2 linked regions of the Sus scrofa genome follow. The protein of the gene in region 1 interacts with the protein of each later gene in a pairwise test. Links are inferred from orthologs where the notes say so. Each region holds a gene or a part of one and is shown on either strand. Other genes may lie near its edges.

Region 1 (10,079 bases):
CATGGCCCTCAGGTGTCGGCTGACTTCCTGGCCTCCTTCCCACATGCCTCTGTAACTCTCTGCCTGCCCTCACTTCAGCTTAGGGGCCTAAGGCTCTGTCCTGTGTCCTCACCCATGTGCTGTCACCTGAACCCTTAGCCCTACAGAAAGAACTAGGCAGCTCTCTGGGCTCTGATAACTCCATCACTGGGCCACCCCCACTGAGGCACCATCTTGTGCTTTAGGTCCTGGCCCAGACTCGCCTGGGAAATGGACGGTGGATGACTCCAGAGAACATTCAGGAGATGTACTCTGCGATCAAGGCTGACCCTGATGGTGATGGTGAGCTCATACCTCGCCACAAACCTGTCCTCGTGAGCCTCCTGCCCACCAGCCAGGCAGCCTCTCTGCCCAGCTTGTAGAGTAGCCAGAGATGAGAAGGTGAGGATCCAGCCTTGCCTTCACGGCTGGGAGGTGAGCAGGAGCTAGACCTTGCCATTTGGCTTGGTAACAGTCTAGAGGACAGTTTTTGGAGACCCTTTTGACTTCATCAGACAGCCTCTGGAGCATAGGAGGTATGGTTGCTGGCTGACAGAGGGCAGATTGGTAGAGCGGAAGCAAAGGGACAGTGAGGTCAGTTTCGCATCTGCCTCTCCCCAGTCTGGCCCAGCAGTCAGCCTCCTTGCTCTAACCAAGGTGTCCCCTTGCCTTCCTCTCACCCACTCAGAGTCATGCTAACTGCTGGGGGTGGGTGTGGGTAGGGATGTTGTGTAAGCACCCTCCCCTTTGGTAATAACCCTCAGAAAGTCTCTGAAGTGTAGTCACCACCCTCACGTCCAAGTGTGGACCAGTTGAGGAAATGGGACTTGGAAGAACAGCCTTGTGGCAGAGTGAAGAATCTGCCAGGACCTGTGGCTGGAGGGTTATCATGCTGCTACTGCCTCTGTGTACAGAGCTAGTGACAGACTCTCAGCCCTTGAGCCCCCCCCACCCTCAGAGGAAAATAGGCCAAAGCATGAAAGTGCCTCATTTGGGTCAGCCAGGATAACATGGAGCAAAGACATCAGCTACTCTTCCAGAACCCCAAAAGGGTAGAGCCCAGCTTTTTGGGTTGGGCAGGAAAAGGGAGAGTGTTCTCATTTGGGGGGGTGCCCTGGCTCTTTCTGCTCGGGTGGACTGGTTATCCAGCAGGCAGGTGTATTCCACTCAGGATAAGACTTTAGGTCACGAGGGAACTCCTGGGGACCAGTCCCACTACAGTGTGGATGGCCCTGGACAAAAGCAGCACTGAATGCTCTCTTTCTTCACCTGCTACAGGACTGGAGGGTGGCCACCACACTCTACAGAGCCAAGCTGGAGGGCCAGGGACAGTCCTTGGCCTAGGGTCCTGGCCACATGGCTTAAGCTTCCTTTGGAGAGACCCCGCTGTGGTCAATCTAAAAGGGGTTGGGCTTCATCCTTTTGGGGGCCAAATCAGGGCTTAAACTGAGGAAATAAACCTTTTGGGTCTTCCTGTAGGGCCTGATGTGACAGAAGCCAACTTCATCTGACCCAAGTCCAGGTTGGGGTGCACATGGCCCCCGAGTGCCTAAGGCCAGGGGAAGGTAGGAAGGTGTATCCCCCTAGTGTGGCCTCCCCCCACGGGCTTGGTGGGCATTGATGGTGGTTGCCCTGTGCAGGAGTGCTGAGCCTGCAGGAGTTCTCCGACATGGACCTTCGGGACTTTCACAAGTACATGAGGAGCCACAAAGCAGAGTCCAGTGAGCTGGTGCGTAACAGCTACCACACGTGGCTGTACCAGGGTGAAGGTGCCCATCACGTCATGCGTGCCATCCGCCAGAGGTGAGCACCTGAGGCTGTCCTCTCTGGTGCAGGGGGAGAGGACCACCAGGGCCCTTGAAGACCTTGGCTATTAACCAATTCAGGATTAAGTTCCAGTTGTTAGACTAGGATTGGGACCCATTAGGAGACAGATGATTAACAAAGGCCAGTTAACCCTAACTGTGGGCAAACAATATACATTTGGGATAAGAAAAAGGCTGAATGTTTGTCTTCTGCTAATTAGAGAAATGACCTCTTATCTCTGTCCACAGGACCCCCTGCCCCTGAGCAGCCAGGGGTTTTAGATAACCACCTCCTTCCTGGAGGGAATGTCTCTCCCTTGCCCAACTTAGTGGAAGTCTCCTCTTTCCCACCCAGTGGATGTTTCTGGCATCCAGGAAAAAGGGCTCATCATGAGTAACCCTTTCCTGTTCCTACAGGGCCAGTCTGGGGTGGCTTAAGGGGCTTCCAGGGGAAATAGGAAGGGGGAGAGCTTTTGGCAGGGACCACCCTGCCAGCTCCTTCAGGTGCCACCTGGCATGGGGCTGCCAGGCTGATGTCTGCTGCCCACCAGGGTGCTGCGCCTCACCCGCCTGTCACCTGAGATCGTGGAGCTCAGCGAGCCGCTGCAGGTCGTGCGGTATGGCGAGGGAGGCCACTACCATGCCCATGTGGACAGCGGGCCTGTGTACCCAGAGACCATCTGCTCCCATACCAAGCTGGTAGCCAACGAGTCTGTACCCTTTGAGACCTCCTGCCGGCAAGTACCTCCCACCTGGACACTGCCTTCAGTTCCCAGTCAGGCACCCCCATGACACAAGCACAGCCCTGCCCTGTGGGTGTGCCCCTTAGTATGTGGCTGGCAAAGTGCTGGGCCATCTTTGTCAAAGATACCCGCACTTCTCCCCCAAGTTGTTTACCAGCTGGCCCAAAAGGGTGGCTATCTTGTCTTGGTGGCTAGACTGAGGTACCCACAGACACTCAAACTCGCCCCTAGAGCTTTCAGGCAAGGGGCAAGTCTGGACCCCTGATTATTTCTGCCCCCTTCTGTGGTTGTTAATCCTGCCTCCACTGCTAGAGACCTCAGCTTCTCCCTTAAGTTGTGTCCCCCTTCCCTGTCAAGGTGTGGTGGCAGATCTTTCATCTTCATGTGGCTGCTCTGGCTTAGCCCCTGCCAGTTGCAGCCAGCCTTCCCCCTGCATGATCTTGCTGCTCCTGCTAGCCTGCCTTTCCCAGCTGACCCTTGGTCAAGACCATGTAATTTAGCTAACTGCACCTGAGATTTTGGCCACAAAAAACATTGTGACACCCAGAAGGAGACTTGTGGGAAGAATGGCCTAGGGACGTGTTGCTACTGACCTCCCTTGTTATCACGAAACCCAGCCTGCCCCTCTGGCCCTTGGGAACCTGGGCAGCTTATCCTGCCCACAGGTAAGCCTCTGGGAGTGTCCACAGATGGGGACCTGCTCAACAGCCCCCCTGCCTTACAGCTACATGACAGTGCTGTTTTATTTGAACAACGTCACCGGTGGGGGCGAGACTGTCTTCCCTGTAGCAGACAACAGAACCTATGATGAAATGGTAAGGGCCAACCCGGCTGTTACTCTGGTGGGATGGCAGGGCCTTGGGCAAATGTAGTGTATACCTCCCCCTTCAGACTTGGGATGAGGCCTAAACTGTCCCTTGAGCACTGGTGTCCCTCTGGCCACCTTTGGCTGCCTGGCCTTAGGCTCCTGGCCATACAGTAGGGATGGCTTGTAAACCCCATCACTCTGCTGCCCACAGAGTCTGATTCAGGATGACATTGACCTCCGTGACACTCGGAGGCACTGTGACAAGGGGAACCTGCGTGTCAAGCCCCGTCAGGGCACAGCAGTCTTCTGGTACAACTACCTGCCTGATGGGCAAGGTGAGGAACTTTGGCCAGGCTAGGGCTGCCTTGCGAGAAGCTTCCCTTTACTCAGCCCTGAATGCCACCCTGGGGAGCTGTTTCTGCCTGTCCTTCAAGTGGCTTTCTGCCCTTCGTCCCTCCCAAAGGCCATCCTCAGTGACTTCACCAGCCAGCACCTGTGCAGCCTCCTGGGTTATCTGGAGCCCTGTGATTCCCTGATGCCACATAGCTTTCCCGCTCATTGGGGCTGGGGACTTGTGCCCCTCAGTAACCCAGACTGGGAAGGTCTGTGGACAGGCCTGGCAGCTGGTTTCAGAGGGCTAGAGGTCTTGATAAGGCATTCACTGGAGAGAGATGCTGAGCCCCCAAGGAGGCCTTGGGGCCGTATGTTTGCCACTGAAGGTGTGCGCAGCTGGGCCTACCCTTGCCATGCACTTAGGCTACATGAGGCCAAACTCAGGCCAGCCCACAAGCTCAAGTCAGTCCAGCCTGGAGTCCCTACCGTCCCCTCGCTTGCTCACATCCTCCTCTCCTAGGTTGGGTGGGCGATGTGGACGACTACTCGCTGCACGGGGGCTGCCTGGTCACACGCGGAACTAAATGGATTGCCAACAACTGGATCAACGTGGACCCCAGCCGGGCGCGGCAGGCGCTCTTCCAGCAGGAGATGGCGCGCCTGGCCCGCGAAGGTGGCGCCGACTCGCAGCCGGAGTGGGCCCTGGACAGGGCCTACCGCAACGCGCGTGTGGAGCTCTGAGGGGAGTGTCCACCCTGAGGTCGGGGCCCTGCCGTCCCTCTGTCTAGCCGCAGGTCAAAGGCCTGGCCATTGTCTTGCCCCATCCCTGCCTCCAGCCACGATTAGGACATAGCTCCTATATCAATGTTATTTATTGTGTACAGACCTATGCTGCCCCGACAAATAAAACTACACGGTTTGGAGCTGCAGGGCGGAGAAGCTCCGGGGCGGGAGCGAGACCGGGCGAGGCGGAGCGCTGCGGAATCACGTGAGGGGGCGGGCACGAGCGGCCCCACCAATCCCAGCCTGACGGCGGGGGCGGGGGGCGGCCGTCATTGGACCTCTGCGGCGGGCGCCCTTGCCTCAGCTACCTGTTGCTAAGGCCGCTGTAGAGCTGCTGCGGGGCCGCGCGGGAAGGCTCCTCTCGCGGTATCTCTGCTCCTTTCTTGGCCGTGGCAGTTGCAGCCGCTCGTGGGTAGACATGGACGCTCACGAAGACTACGTTTGGCCGCGAGCAACCTCGGAGCTCATACTCCTCCCGGTCACGGGTCTGGAGTGCGTGGGGGAGCGGCTTTTGGCGGGTGAGCTTGATTTTGTGGCGCGCGCTAGCGAAGAAACCGAACATTTGCCTGGGGAGGGGCTTTAAGAACAAAGGGATGCTCGGAGGAGGAGGAAGAGGGGGGCGGGGGGCAGGTGGCGGGCGGGAGCCTAGGAGATGGCAGAGCTCCGGAGCGGCTGTAGTAGCCTAGGAAACAAAGGCTCCTAAGGCCTTTCATAAACTAGGTGACGCGGAGAGGGGAGCTGGGCTGCAGAAAGATGCGCGGGAGCGCGGTCGGCTGGGGCGGGGCAAGGGGAAGGAGAGACACCTGTGGCCGCGTCGCTGAGTTGGGCGGGGGCCTGGCCTCACTAGAGGGCCGCAGCGGGGAGGTCGGCGACAAGCCCCCCGTCCCCCATGTTGGTTTGGGTCCAGGACGCTTGTGGCCCGGTGGGGAAGCGGGGATGGAAGGAGCAGTAGGTGAGGCTCTTCCCTGGAAAATGAGGATGAAGAGCGTCTGATCGGGTCGTGGGGAGACCAGGGATGAGACCTTTTTAGGTTGGCCAGTGCTTGGAGAGGCGTAGGCTGAGGCCTCTTCCAAGATAGTTGGGGTCCAGCAATCCTGATATACGACTCCCCGACTCCCCTCCGAGGAGGGTCGGCTGGGGACGTAGACGCCTGGGAGCTGAGGTGGCAGAGTCCTGGGGAGCACTGAGGCCTGACTGAAAGCCATTAGTGACCAATGATGGTGATCTGAGTTTTATCAACTGAAAAAAAGTGCACAACCTAAAAGAATTATGTTTTATCTGGTAGCCAAAACTAAGAACTTAAGCCCAGAACACAGCTTCTTAGGTAACTCTGAAAGGCTGCTCTGAAGAGGCAAGGGGAAGGGGGGGAGGAGGAAGCCAGAATATATAGAAGTGTTTGCAACAAAAGGTCTGCTAGTTGGAACAACAAAAGATTATTGTTACTCAAAGAAAACCAGACATCTCAAGTTAATGAATTTAGTGTTTTGTTGTTGTGGTTTTTTTTTTTTTTTTTTGTCTTTTTTTGTCTTTTTCCCATTTTCTCTGGCTGCTCCCGCGGCATATAGAGGTTCCCAGGCTAGGGGTCGAATGGGACCTGTAGCCGCCCGCCTACGCCAGAGCCACAGCAACGCGAGATCCGAGCTGCGTCTGCAACCTACACCACAGCTCAGGGCAACGCTGGATCCTTAACCCAACTGAGCAAGGCCAGGGATCTAACCTGCAACCTCATGGTTCCTGGTCGGATTCGTTAACCACTGAGCCATGATGGGAACTCCGAATTTAGTGTTTTTTTAATGTATGGGAAGATGCAGAGTCTGGGCTCATTGAAATCATACTTTAGATATGCACCTCAGCTCTGGGGCTAGGACCCAGTGTTTTTCCCATCCTGAGTCTCTTAAGGATGCACCAATGGGGGTGGCTTCAGCATTCTCTGCAGGGCTCGCAGTCCGGGTAACTGTGCTGTGGTGGCCTGATGGCTGCAGTATCCTTTGTTTACTGATATGGCCTGCAGTTTTTCTTTTTTGGCGGCCTTGTGACGTATGGATTTCCCGGGCCAGGGATCAGATCAGAGCCCAGCTGCAGCAATCCCAGATTCTTTAATTTGCCTTGCTGCCCCGGGCACCACCAATTCCATTGTACCACAGTGGGAACTCTGGGCAGGCAATATTTTTCATTCACAGTTCGATAAGGGTCTTGAGGCAGGACAATGGCTGTCAAGCCTTGAATGCGCTGCCAGTCCTAAGAGGGATGGCTGTGTGTGGGTGGGGATGGATGGAGGGATGGCCCAGTTTTGATCTGGTGTGGGGGCTCTGGGAGCCCAGGGTTCCTACCATGAACTAAACTCATAAGGCTCCTGAAGGAGAGGATAGCTAGGCAGAAACCTGAACAACCACACGACGAGTAAACTAGGAGAAAGGGTGAGTTCCTGTCAGAGGGTGAGCGTGCCAAAGGCCTCGAGACTGAGAGAATCTGTCCCTTTGTGGGGAACGGGGAATGCTTGTGAGCCTTCAGCAGGGGTGGAGGTCTAGAAGAGACTGAGCAGAGGCCAGAACATTTTAGGCCTAGACCTGACTTTATCTCTAATGGAATAAAACCCATTGGTGAAGCCCCACTGAAAGGTTTTAAGCAGGGGAATGGCTTGGGAAATGCAGGTTAGAAAGATTTCAAAGTGAATTCCCCTGCTCCCGTGACTTCAAAAGTGACTTTATATTGACATTTCTCAGATCCCACCCATGTGTACCTATAATCTGAATTCCCAGCCCTGTTTGTTTGCGAGTGTCAGGCTCAAGTGCAACAGGTACCTACAAATTGAAGTATTCCTTCTGGGCATTCCAGCACGCAGGTGCCAGCCATTCAGGTGCCCAAGACCAAGAATCTACCTCACTCCCCAAGCCAGTCTCATTTTTTGGCACTTCATACAAGTGGCATCTTTTGGTTTGCCTTTTCTGCCATCATTCGAGGCCATGCAACTCTGTCTCCCTGATCCTCTTAGTAGCATTCTCTCTAGCCCATCCTTGAGCCCTTCATTTCTTCTAGCCATACTGCCCAAAGCTCTTGCTCACCTCAGGGACATCAAAGTTGCTATTTCCTCTGCTAAGAAAGTTCTCCTCCCTTCTGCCTGCTCTTCCTCTGGCCAACTGCTGCTGATCCTTAATTCCTCACTTTAAATGTTAGGTAGTCAAGTTGGCTTCCCCTGAACTCACCCAGTCTGCTTAGATTAGACCAGGGTTTCTCAGTCTAAGTATTACTGATGTTGGATCAGATCATTTTTTGTGTGAGGGGCTGTCTATTCATTGTAGGAGGTTTAGCAGTATCCCTAGCCTCCATGCCTAGATGCCCAGGAGCACACACATCTCTCAGTTTGGACAACCAAAAGTATTTTCAGACATTACCAGATGTCTTCTGGGGTGAAAATTGCCTCCATGTTGGAAACCACTGAAGTAGACTTTCCCATTTCATTTTCTTAACGTGCTCTATATAGTACTTTCCTGAAACTTACCAAGGTTATAATGATGTCGTTCACTTGTGTGGTATCGTTTAATGTCTGCCTAATCCACAGCAGCAGGGTCTTGTTCACTGCTTCAGCATATAGTTCATTACCTGGTTTGTCATCAATGCTCATGTATTGAATATTGAGATTGAGATTGGAGGCTGGGAATAGCATGGGGGATTGATATTGTCATTTCAGGTTAAGAGGTGTTGTCCTGGACCAAAGTCAACTATAGTGGGTTGGATTGCAAAGTCTTTGGTGTTTTTTTGTTTGTTTGTTTCGTTTTATTTTTAGGGCTGCACTTGCAGCATATGGAGGTTCCCAGGCTAGCGGTCAAATCAGAGCTACAGCTGCCGGCCTACCCCACAGCCACAGCAACTCGGCATCTGAGCCACATCTTCGTTCTACACAGCTCACTGCAGTGCTGGATCCTTAACCCACTGAGTGAGGCCAGGGATCGAAGCCACATCCTCATGGATTCTAGTTGGGTTCGTTAACCACTGAGCCACGAAGGGAACTCTGGATTGCAAATTCTTTAGAAAATGAAATCTACAGATCTTTAGAAAATGAAGTCTACAGATCTGCAGAACTTGGATACAGATGTGGCAAGTTAAGAGGAATGGGCTTTCTAGTTTGTGGGGGGCAGGGTGGGCAGAGGATGGTAATGGTCATTGGGATGAGCAGCATGGAGCAAACTAGATGAGTCAGCAGCATGGGACGTGCCTGCAGGGCAGCCAAAAGGCAGTTGGGGGTCACAGCTGAGGGTCTGCTGTCAAAGCGTGAGCTGCCCTCTCCCCATTTTAAAAATAAATTTATTTTTTTTATTATGTCTCTCTCTATTGATAGTGAACATGCTCACATCTTCTGAGATACAGAGAAGCTCCTGGAAATCAGGAGTCTTTCTGCTGTGGCCTCAAAGTAGAAAGCTTGACTTGTGGGACTATCTCTTCCCTGGAGGAGGAAGGGAGTAGAAAGAATGTCTGTAGAGGTAAACGAGGCCAAGGATTTGGGGGACAAAACTGAGAGGATTCCTGTCTGAAGCATGGGAAGTTAAATGGGATGAGGAGGAGACTAAGTTTGAGGAATTCATGTTTGAACTGAATGTCATGGGTGACTGATGAGGGGATCAGAAAGTCAGGACTGGGAGTTCCCTGGTGGCTCAGTGGCTCTGGTTCCATCCCTGACCTGGACACTTCCACATACTGTAGGCAAGGCCAAAAGGAAAAAAAAAAAAAAAAAAAATTAAGTCAGGACTGAAAGTACAGCTGAAGCTGAGACCAGGATTTTCCAAGGTTCAAGTCTGCAGTTTGAGCATACTTGCAGTAACCTAATAGGTTCATAAGCTACATACTGAGAATTTTCCCTACTCCCTGTTTCTTCATGGCTCATCAGAGTTAGGCGAGGGGTTCTTATGTGGCTTTTTGCCTTTGTCTAGGTGAGGGGCCAGATGTCCTCGTGTACACCTTGGATTTTGGCGGACATCTGCGGATGATGAAACGAGTGCAGAACCTGCTTGGCCACTATCTTATCCATGGGTTCCGGGTGCGACCAGAACCCAACGGAGACCTTGACTCGGAGGCCATGGTGGCAGTGTTTGGGAGCAAGGGACTCCGAATTGTGAAAATTAGCTGGGGACAGGGCCGCTTCCGGGAGCTCTGGCGCTCTGGCTTGTGGAACTTGTCTGACTGGATCTGGGATGCACGTTGGCTCGAGGGGAACATGGCCTTGGCCCTGGGCCACAACTCAGTAGTGCTGTACGACCCTGTGGTAGGGTGCATCCTGCAGGACGTGCCCTGCACAGACAGGTGCACCCTCTCCTCAGCCTGTCTGATTGGAGACACCTGGAAGGAGCTGACCATAGTGGCGGGTGCCGTTTCCAACCAGCTCCTGGTCTGGTACCCAGCAGCCGCTCTGATAGACAACAAGCCTGTAGCCCCCGACCGACGGGTCAGTGGGCATGTGGGTGTCATCTTCAGCATGTCATACCTGGAAAGCAAGGGCTTGTTGGCCACGGCTTCAGAAGACCGAAGTGTTCGCATCTGGAAGGTGGGTGACCTGCGGGTGCCTGGGGGTCGAGTGCAGAATATTGGGCACTGCTT
Region 2 (10,224 bases), on another chromosome or scaffold:
TGCCTGCAAGTGCACAATGCACCCCCAGGAGGCTGGGCTTCTCCATGAACTTGAGCTCAATCAGACCCCTGCCTGCTCACTTCTGGGGCACACGTGCCAGCTCCAGGCCAAGGATCTCACGCTGTGCGGTGGGGACAATGATAAACTAGGGGGCAGGGGCCTGTGTCTCCAGAAGGAGCCAGGACAGCCTCACAGCATCTGAACCTTGAGCTTCTTTCACACGGCTGTGGGCGGTGCTTGGGCAGTGCAGAGCCTACCTCCATGGCCGTGGAAAAATGGGTCGGCTCTGACCACCGGAAGCCACCTGACCGTGGAGGCGAAGGAGGAAAGGGCAGCTCAGCCGATCAGCTGCTGCGAAGCAGGGGCTCTGATGCCCTGATATCCAATAAAACCAACAGCACAGTCTCGCTTTGGGAGGGTTTTCAAGTCGTACTCATAATGTCTATATAACCACACAGCCTACCTGTTCCCATCATCCCAAGATGATACACCCGTCCAGGTATCTCAAACACTTCACTGGCATTTTTCATTAAAGTTTTATAATATCCCACCAAGGGGAACCATAACCATGGCTGGGAGCTCGGAGGGATGGCTTCTAATCAGGAGGGCCCAGATCTCCTCAAGAACCCACAGTAGACCAGAGCAGGGGAAGGTGCACGTGACCCAGCGCAGGGACCAACATCAGGAATTGGAGGCCAGATGAGCCCTGCTACAGGGCAAAAAACAAAACCTAAAACCACCACTTGTGTAGGTGCAAGACTACAAAGTGACCACCCTCCGAAGGGAACTGGTAAAACAGAGGCACAAGCCTTGGATGATCACATGGGCAAAACCACCATGCTTACTGCTGTCTTCTCTACCAGGCAGAACAATCGTTTTACACTGGGGAGAGTGGGATTAAAGGGAATGCGAAGGCACCTCCTGAGCACCTCCCATGATCCACCGGACACTATACCTGTCATCTCATCTGGTTCCCACATCAGACGAGGGAACTGAGCTAAAGACAGCAAGGACCAGCGTTTCCGCTGTGGCTCAGTGGGTTAAGGACCCGATGTTCTCTCAGTGAGGATGCAGGTTCTATCCCTTGCCTGGCTCAGTGGGTTAAGGATCCGGCATTGCTGCAAGCTGCGGTGTAGGCCACAGATGTGGCTGGGATCTTGCTGTGGCAGTGCCGTAGGCAGGTGGCTGCAGCTCCGATTTCAACCTCCTAGCCGGGGAACTTCTGTGTGCCGCAGGTGTGCCTATAAAAAGAAAAGAAAAGAAAACAAAACAAAAAAACCACACCAGAAAACAAAACCCCAAACCCCAAAATAAAAAGACAGCAAGGACCATGCCTGAAGTGACCTGGCACAGAACAGAACCTGGACCCAGTGGCTCCTGACAAGGTCATTCTCCTCCCAGATATCATACAACGTGCTCTGGTCTTTTTATTATTACAGTTAAACATAAAATGTGCCATTTCAATCATTTTTAGGTGCACAATTCAGCGGCATTCATTACATTCACCATGTTTTGCAACCACCCCCACTATTTATTTCCTGAACTTTCCCACAGCTCCAAACAGAAACTCTGTACCCATGAAGCAATAACACCCCAGTCCCTCCCTTAACGTCCGGCAACCTCTCATCTACTCTGTCTATGAATTCGCCTATTCTAGGTATTTCATACATGTGGAATTCTACCATATTTGTCCTTTTGTGACTGGCTTAGTTCACTGAGCATCATGGTTAAGGTTCACCCATGCTGAGGCATGTATAAGAGCTTCATTCCTGTTCAAGGCTGAATAATATTCCATTGTATGGTGGGACCCTAGTTTGTTTATCCATCCATTTGCTCACACTTAGGCTGCTTCTACCATTTGGCTACTGTACTGTAAACAGAGCTACAGTGAACATCTCTGTAGAAGTGGCTGGTTGTGCCCATGTTCAATTCTTTGGAGTCCTAGGAGTATGACTGCTGGGTCATACAGTAACTCTACGTTTTGTTTTTGAAGAGCCACCGAACTTTGCTACAGAGGCTGCAGCATTTTACATTCCCAGTAGCAAGGTAAAAGGGTTCCACATCCTTATCAATACTTTTGATCATAGGCATCCTAGAAGGGGTCAAGTGATATCTCACTGGGGTTTTAATTTGCATTTCCCTAATGACTGAGGTTAAGCATCTTTTCATGTGTTCATTTGTAGGTCTGCAGAGAAGCATCTACTCAAGTCCTCTGCCCATTTTTAAACTGGGTTATCTCAATTTGGATTGAGTTACAGGAGTTCTTTATTCTCTATGTTACGGTAAACTTTTGTCAGATATTATTTGCAAATATTTTCTCCCACTCTGTAGGCTGTTTCTTGATAATGTCTGTTTTTTTTTTTTTTTTTTTTTTTTTTTGCTTTTGCTTTATAGGGCCATGCCTGCGGCATATGGAAGCTCCCAGGCTAGAGGTGGAGTCTGAGCCACAGCTGCTGGCCTACACCACAGCCACAGCAATGCAGGATCCGAGTGTCTGTGAACTACACCACAGCTCATAGCAATGTCGGATCCTTAACCCACTGAGAGAGGCCAGGGATCAAACCCACATCCTCAGGGATACTAGTTGGGCTCGCTATCACTGAGCCACAATGGGAGCTTGTGATAATGTCTTTTGAGGCACAAAAGATTTTAATTTTGATGAAGTCCAATTTACCTATTTTGCTTTTGTTCCATGGCTTTAGCTCGTATTTAGGGCATCAATCCTTGCTTTTTAGGGCCGCACCTGTGGCATATGGAGGTTCCCAGGCTAGGGGGCGAATCTGAGCTACAGCTGCTGGCCTACACCACAGCCACAGCAATGCAGGACTGGGCCACGTCTGTGACCTACACTACAGGTCACGGCAACACCAGATTCTTAACCCACTGAGCGAGGCCTGGGATCGAACCTACAACCACATGGTTACTAGTCAGATTTGTTTCCAATGCACCAAGACAGGAGTTCCTGAACTTAATTTTCTTTTTTCAGGAATCAAACCTATGCCACTGCAGTGACCCAAGCTGTTGCAGTGACAATGCTGGATCCTTAACCCACTGTGCCACAGTGGGAACTTCTAGACTGTGAACTTCTTAAAGGCGGGGTCTGGGTCTTTTAAAAATCATGACCCAGTGCCTGGTACCCAGCAGGTGCTCCATAATTAACTGTGGGATGAATGGCTAGTGAAGTGGATAAACTACAGCCAAGGAGTATCCTCCATCCCCCGCCTACTTCTCATCACCACTGTGAGACCACTGACAGCTGGTCCAAAGACTCTTGTCTATAACAAAGCAAACCGGAGAGGCTGACCATATTAAGAACTAAATGTGCATGAGCAACTGCCTTACCCACTTCTATTCAACTAAAACAATCCAAAGTTAACCAATGCACTTAACTAAGGACAGAGCCAAGGGTCCTGGCCCTGGAAAGCTCAACGTGCCTTGTTCAAGTCTCTCATCGCACAGAGGAGGAAACAGAAGCTCCAGTGGAGCCAGTGACTTCCCAAAGCCTGGGCTTCCACTCCAGGCCTTTTCCCACCAAACGCAGGCCTGCGTGGTCACCCGCTTGAGGGTCAGAAAGGCATGAGGGGAGGCTGAACTGCTTCAAATGGTGGGAGTGGCCCTTGGGCTCCAAAACCTGCCAGTGGAAAAATGAACCCTGGATCCTGACTCATTCTGCTACATGAGGGCCCCCTCCCTGTCCACGTCATCTGCTCACCCTGAGCCAGCCACACGGCCCCCTTCCCTGGACCTGCTTGTTACAGGCTGGTTCCTGCCACAGGTGTTCGCAGCTGCTGTTCCCTGTGCTCAGAATGCCCTTCCCTCAGACATCCTGCACCGGGCTCTGTCCCTCCCTGTACAGGTCTGCTCAACAATTCAGCCCATCAGTGCGCCCTCCCCATCCCTCCTCTCCTCAGCATTCATCAGCGCTGGACCTAATATGTCCACTGCTTGTCTCCTCCCAATTTCCACGTCCCTACCTCCCACAGGAGTGAAAGTTCCTTAAAGGCAGGGACGTCACTGTCAATTGCTGTATCCCTGGTCCCTGGAACAGTGCCGAGCAGGCCGTGGGTACCAGGTAAGTATCTGCGAAAGGCGTGGAGAAAGGGACAAAGTAGGGAGCACCACACTCAGCATTTCCGTGTCACGAAAAGCGTTTACAGAGGTGGAGGCGGGCAGCTTCACACGCCCAGGTGAGCGCTGCCTGGAACCTGCAGCCAGAGGCCCACAGGCTGTCCCGGGCTCCTGCACCTGTGACTGGGCAGGTGGGGCTGGGACATGGAGTGCTGTCAACACTCCCACGCATCTCAGCCAAGCCCAGGAGGCCGGCAGCTGCTGCGGTGCTGACCTGGCTGTAGAAAGCAGTCTCTCCCCATGGGTGCCTAATAAGTGCTTGTGAAATACACACACACATGAATGAACAGCTAGTGTGCACAAGGCTTACGCCTGCACTTCTAGAAGGCTCGTGTCAGCACTCCTAGCAGCATAGCATTCCAACAATGCCGGGCGGTGGTTGGACCCAGTAGTTCCATTTCTAGGGACCTACGGTCAGGATATATCCAGACATGAAAGTTTTATTTGCAAGGTTCTTCCTTCCAGTGACGTAACACTGAAAACTGCAACCCAAAAGCTGATTTCTAACCTTAGGGGGCCAGTTAAGTAAATCATAAACTAGCCACAGAACTTCCATGAAGACTTCACAATGACATGGAAACTATTAGAATATTAAGTAAAAAGGGCTAGTTATAAAATTGTACTTATGCTGTGACCACAACTACGAAGGGAATTCACAAGACTGTGAAAATGTGTTCATTTTTCTATTCTTTCAAACTTTCTGTATTGCCTAAGTTTTCTATGAGCAATAATGACTCCAAAAATCAACAGAACTTAAAATACTCTTACCTGATACCTCACTGGTGCCCAGGTTGCAACTGCTTAACCCTCCATCCCTCGACTGGGTCACGTCCTGGCCCCTTTCTGCGTTCAGCCCACCCTGCTCCTCCTCTTCCTCCCGCTTGCCCCCCACCCTGCCACAGCTCTGACTCAGTTGCCATACCTGCTGCCCCACCCCCCGAAATCCTGGTCCAAGCTGGGCTGCCCCACCTGATACCCTCCTGGCCCACAGACCCACGATGGCGCCTGACTCTTCTTCCGCTTCCCCGCTGTGTGACCCCGGGTAAGATACTGAACCTCTCTGAGACTCCACATCCTCCTCAGGAGAATGAGGTTGAACCCAGCTCACAGGGACCTGAAGGCCCCCACCTCAAGGGCCTCTGAGGTTCAGCGAGTTAGACCCTCACCTCACCACGCCCTTTGCAGCTGAGGTGCAACATGCTAAGTGCTGTGAGGGTCTCTAAGCCCTAGCACAGGATGGGCCCCAACCTACCGGCTCTACCTTGTGAAGCGCTGTACATAGGGCACGCTGATGGACGGGGAGTAATGTCCTTATTCCCAATCTGCATAAATCCGGACACCTGTCCTCTCCTGAGGGGTGCAGAAAAGCAGTTTTGCTCTGGGATCCTGGATCAAAGCAGTGGTTTCTTGGCTGAAATGCCCATTCCCCTCGTCGAAGCCTCCACCACTCCAGAAAACTCACAGCCCAACTCTCACAGTGCTGCCCAAATCCAAACCCCAGGCGATCACCCTTTCTGAGCCTGGGTTCTGTCTTCTGAAGATGCTCCTGGCATGTTCATTTGAGGTTCTGCTGACTCCTCACTCCATCTTCTCCCATCCACACCGACACTCGCCCAGGCACCCGACTCAGGGCTTGGTTCTCCTGATCTGCCCGTCACAGGGCTTTACACACGCCTTCTGCATGAACATCCTGCCTTCACCCCTCTATGGCGCCGCAGGCAGTTTATGAGCCCCGGCTGTGGCCAGGCTCCATGGCGGGTGCAAGGGTGCAGAGGTGAATAAGAACCGTCTCAGGTTCCTGCTCTTGGGGAACCGAGAGGCTTGTCAGAGAGAGACTCATGAAAAATTAAATAACCACCTTTCCGTGTGGGAAGTGCTATGAAGACAGGTGTGCCCCAGGCTGTGGGGGCCTTGTCTCAGGTGTGACCACAGTGCAGCCAGGGACAGAAGGAAATAGCTTTTAAGGGGATTCTAATGGCAAAAATTGACCTTGAAGGATGGCGTATCAAACAGCAAAATCAAATCACCCACACACTACTTATCCCAAAGCCTGTAGTGGCCCCTACTGCCCCTCATCCATCACCCACAATCTGACTCCGATCTCACCCTCCAGACCCCAGACCCCCGGCGGCACTTGCTCCGTGGGGCTGGCTAGAAAGCCAGGCAGCTGTGCTGACTTTGCTTCGACAGCCCCTTCTCCCCGAGCCTCGCCACCATGAGTCACATTCCTGACCAATACCACTCAAAGTGTGGTGTCCAGCCTCGAGGCATCAGCATAACACGGGCGCTGGTTAGGAAAGCAGACGCTCACCCTGACCCCAGGCCTCCAGAACCTGAATCTTCTCATATGTGCACGGAAGTGTGAGAGGCCCTGCTCTCTGCCTCAACTCCACTCCCCAGGCCTTTGGCTTCCTCCTCTTCATGCTGTTGCCAGCTGCCACCTTTTGGCATCAACATAGACGCAGCGAGCTGACACCCCACCTCCAGAGCGTCCACCCCCTCAGTCCCACTGACCTTCACATCCCCCCCGGCCCCACCTGGCCCAGGACAGCACGTGCGTGTCACAGCCCTCGCCATCTGAGCCCCGGCCTCCACCTGTGGACAAGTGGCACACGACGGTCCTTCTGTCAAGCTCACTGAGAGGGACAGATGGCAGGCAGAGACTTTCTGAGTAATTATGTGCCACCAGAAGAAGCACGTGTCATTGTGGAATCTTCACCTGACCCTACATGGGGACACCTGTCATTCCCGCTGTGGAAGTGAGGGAGTGGAGGCTTTGGGAGGTCAGGGAGTAAGAGGGCTTCTGGAGACAACCCCAGCTTACACCCTGCGCCGGGAGAGATGGTGGGCACCACAGCCTCACAGAGCGAGCTTCCGAGGAGGAGGAGGAATGTCTGCACTTTAGCTGGGGACAGTCACTTAACCAGGACCTAGAAACATGGGGACAAGTAACACACAAGTGGGAGAGGTACAGGGGCCAGACCGCGAAGCCCTGTAGTGACCGACTAAAGGGCTGAGACTTTCAGGGCAACAGGAGCAATGATGCTTTTGGAGTGGGCTGGCCCCAAACAGCCACCTCCTCCCTGACCCTCGTCCCATTCCCTCACCCACAAACCAGCCCCTTCACCATTTAAGACATGCTCCTCAGACCCTCCCAAAGCGGGAAATGCAGTCAGATCCCCCTGGCATGCTGGGCTCCATCGCTTGCCTTCTGCCCTCCCCTCCCCTCTCCAGGAGGAAGCCCAGCGCCAGGGACACCAGCACCGGGGGTTTCTCCCAAGCAGCTCCCCCACAGCAAAGCCTTATCAAGAGTCATGAAAAAGGGCCCAGCTGCCCGAAACTTTCCCTCCCCCAACATGATGGGGCTCCCCCTCCAAGCCCAGTCTGCCCATATCAAATCGGCTGTGTCCACCACCATCTCCAAGAGGAGGGTTGGAGACCTGCCTCCTTCCCAAGGAGGCCCAGCTGCACCCTGGGGATGGAGCTAAGAGGCCGTCTCTACCCTGGGGGAGCTCACAAGACGGAGCCCAACCTGAGGATGGACCCCTTCAATGGGGAGACGTTCTCACACCGCCTCTGCGATACATTCACGCACCTGGATCTATACGCTAACCCAAGAAACCAAAGCCTTCATCTTCGAAAATGTCTTTTAGGAGCAAATAATCACTGTAACAAGGAATCTGCTCTGCGACTGAAAACATTTAAGATTAACCTTGTATAAAACAGAAAATGTTAAAATTGCAACACAAAATTAATCCCTCCATCATTTACAGACTGGAATAGCACTCTGTGAGATGCAGGTCTGTACTGGAGTCCAGCTACTCAACCTGTGATCTCTGGGCCACAGTCTCAACACCACCCAGCTTGTTAGAGACGCAGAAGGCAGGGCCCACCCCAAACTCCTTAAATCGGAATCTGTATCTTAACACTGAAGCTTGGGAAGCCCTGGTGTAGTCTAGGGTTTGCAGGGCTGGCCGTGGGGGGTTGAGGGGTGGGGAGGGGAAAACAAGGTCAGATGGAGGCAGGTGACACAGGACCGGCAAAGAAGAGGTGATCTTAGTGCTTCTGCAGGGAACACTTTCTGGAAGCAACGTGAGGGAGGTCTAGGTGTGAGGGGCTTGCTAGGGAGAGCAGCAAAGTGGAGGCAAAGGGGAGAAGCATGTGCAGTGACCCAGTCCCAGTGCGGGGTGGGAAGGAGGGGGCAGGCTGCAGGAGGGGCTGAGGTGTGACAGACGGGTGGGATCTGTCCAGCGCTGCTGTCACTGTCGGGGGAGAGAAAGGAGACCCTGCGGTTTCTAAGCTGGAAGATCCTGTCACTTACAGAGAGAGCTTTTTTAAGGAGGAAGGTGCAGAGCTCTGCTCTGGACATGTGTGTGCAAAGTGGGGAAGCTGAGGACCCTTGAGGGAAATGCTGGGATGTGATATACACAGAGATGATAGACCTGTGCGCCCCCGAGGATGGGATTGGGTGTGCACACCCAGGAAAGCCTGCAGGAGGATAAGAGGAGAGGAAAAGGGGGCCAGATGCCCAGGGTGAGCGGAGAGGCAGGAGGAGAGCTGCGTCACAGAAGCTGCAGCACAGAGATCAAATGCGCTGAGATATGCAAACTGGCCACCGGTCCTGACAAGTGAGTGGCCCTGGCCAGGTCCCACGGCAAGAGTAGTGTTGCTCAAGGGGTGGGGTAGCCTGGGAACACTGGGCTGAGGGATGCAGGCGGCAGATGAAGCTGAGACTGCAGGATGAATAAATTCCTAAACATCTCACCTGAGGTTGCAAGGCCCCTTTAACCACAATTACGGCCTTCGGCACACGTGTGTTCACAGCGGCACTGCTTGCAAAAGCCGAAAGGTGGAAGCAGCCCACTGACAGGTGAATGAATAACAGAATGTGGTAATGTAAGTCCACTGGAGTATTACTCAGCCTTAAAAAGCTAGGGATTTCTGACACATGTGACAACATGGATCAATCTGGAGAACATTAATGCTAAGTGAAATAAGCCAGTCACAGAAGGACAAGTGCTGCATGATTCTACTTCTACAAGGTCTCTTTATAGTAGTTAAAATCAGAGAGACAGAAAGTAGAAGGGTGGCTGCCAGGGACATGGATGGGGGAGAAACGGAGTTTCTCTTAAAAGGGACAGAGTTTCACTTTTGCAAGATGAAGAGTTCTGTGGATTTGTGGTGGTAATAGTAGCACAAATATGTGACTGTGCTTAAAGCCACTGAACTGTACTTACACTTAAAAATGGTTAGGATGGTAAGTTTTATGTCATATGTATTTTACCACAATTTTTATACGTCTTTTGGAGTTTCCACTGTGGCACAACAAGATCGGTGCCATCTCTGCAGCACCAGGATGCAGGTTCAATCCCCAGCCTAACGCAGTGGGTTAAAGGATCCAGCATCGCTGTGGCTGCAGCACAGGTCACAACCACGGCTCAGATCTGATTCCTGGCCCAGGAACTCCATATGCCCAGGAGCACCCAAAATTTTTTTTAAAAATGTCTTTCTTTCATTATAGGTATAGAAAACCTGAACTCCTAGAACTGAACAGTATGTCTGTGTCAAAAGCAGTAAGAGCAAATCTTTTTCAGAGACTGTCAACTATTCCTCCGGCAGGCTTCGCAGTGAAAGGAAGGGGGTGATGGGGCGGTGACCTAACAGTGAGGCCAGGGTTGGAGAAGGTTTCTTTTCTTCCCCCAGGTGATAGGACAACAGTCTTCAACTGTAACTGGAGCGGTAAGCCTGAACCAGCCAGAGACACTCATTTTCTCAAACTGGAAGAAAGAAGAGAGGAGCCAGAAAATGAAGGTGGGGGGTGGGGGGAGGAGACTCCCTGTACATGGCCCTCAGCATCTCATGGCTATAGGTGGTGTGTGTGTGGGGGGGGAGGTCACCTGGAGAGGAGGGCGACAGGTAGGAGACATGGAGAGCATGGAAAAAAGTCAGGTTGGCTGGCATGGCAGCAACAAAGGAGGACAGAGGGCTGTTTGGGCAGCAGGGAGGGCCCAGTGGCTGCAAAGCAGAAAGCACACCATCTGAAACTATCACGAAGCCTGGAGCAGTGGTCCTCAAAGGAAGGTCCCTGGTCTCTGG

The links.
Region 2: the proteins of WDR6 (region 1) and PTPN3 interact in binary tests that used the Homo sapiens proteins (3 or more experiments, as listed by UniProt). The two-hybrid records come from large-scale screens. The link is inferred for Sus scrofa from reciprocal best matches to the Homo sapiens genes WDR6 and PTPN3.

Annotation. Positions count from the first base shown.
Region 1 is NC_010455.5:31,637,616-31,647,694, forward strand, and holds the start of WDR6 (WD repeat-containing protein 6), read left to right. Parts: upstream 1-4,591; 5' UTR 4,592-4,908; coding exon 4,909-5,008; intron 5,009-9,415; coding exon 9,416-10,079. Other genes in the region: P4HTM (transmembrane prolyl 4-hydroxylase), read left to right, coding at 225-321, 1,659-1,821, 2,375-2,560, 3,291-3,381, 3,586-3,709, 4,228-4,448. UniProt on the Homo sapiens protein: Together with methyltransferase FTSJ1, methylates the 2'-O-ribose of nucleotides at position 34 of the tRNA anticodon loop of substrate tRNAs. Required for the correct positioning of the substrate tRNA for methylation.
Region 2 is NC_010443.5:250,519,786-250,530,009, forward strand, and holds the start of PTPN3 (tyrosine-protein phosphatase non-receptor type 3), read right to left. Parts: upstream 6,603-10,224; 5' UTR 5,457-6,602; coding exon 5,381-5,456; intron 1-5,380.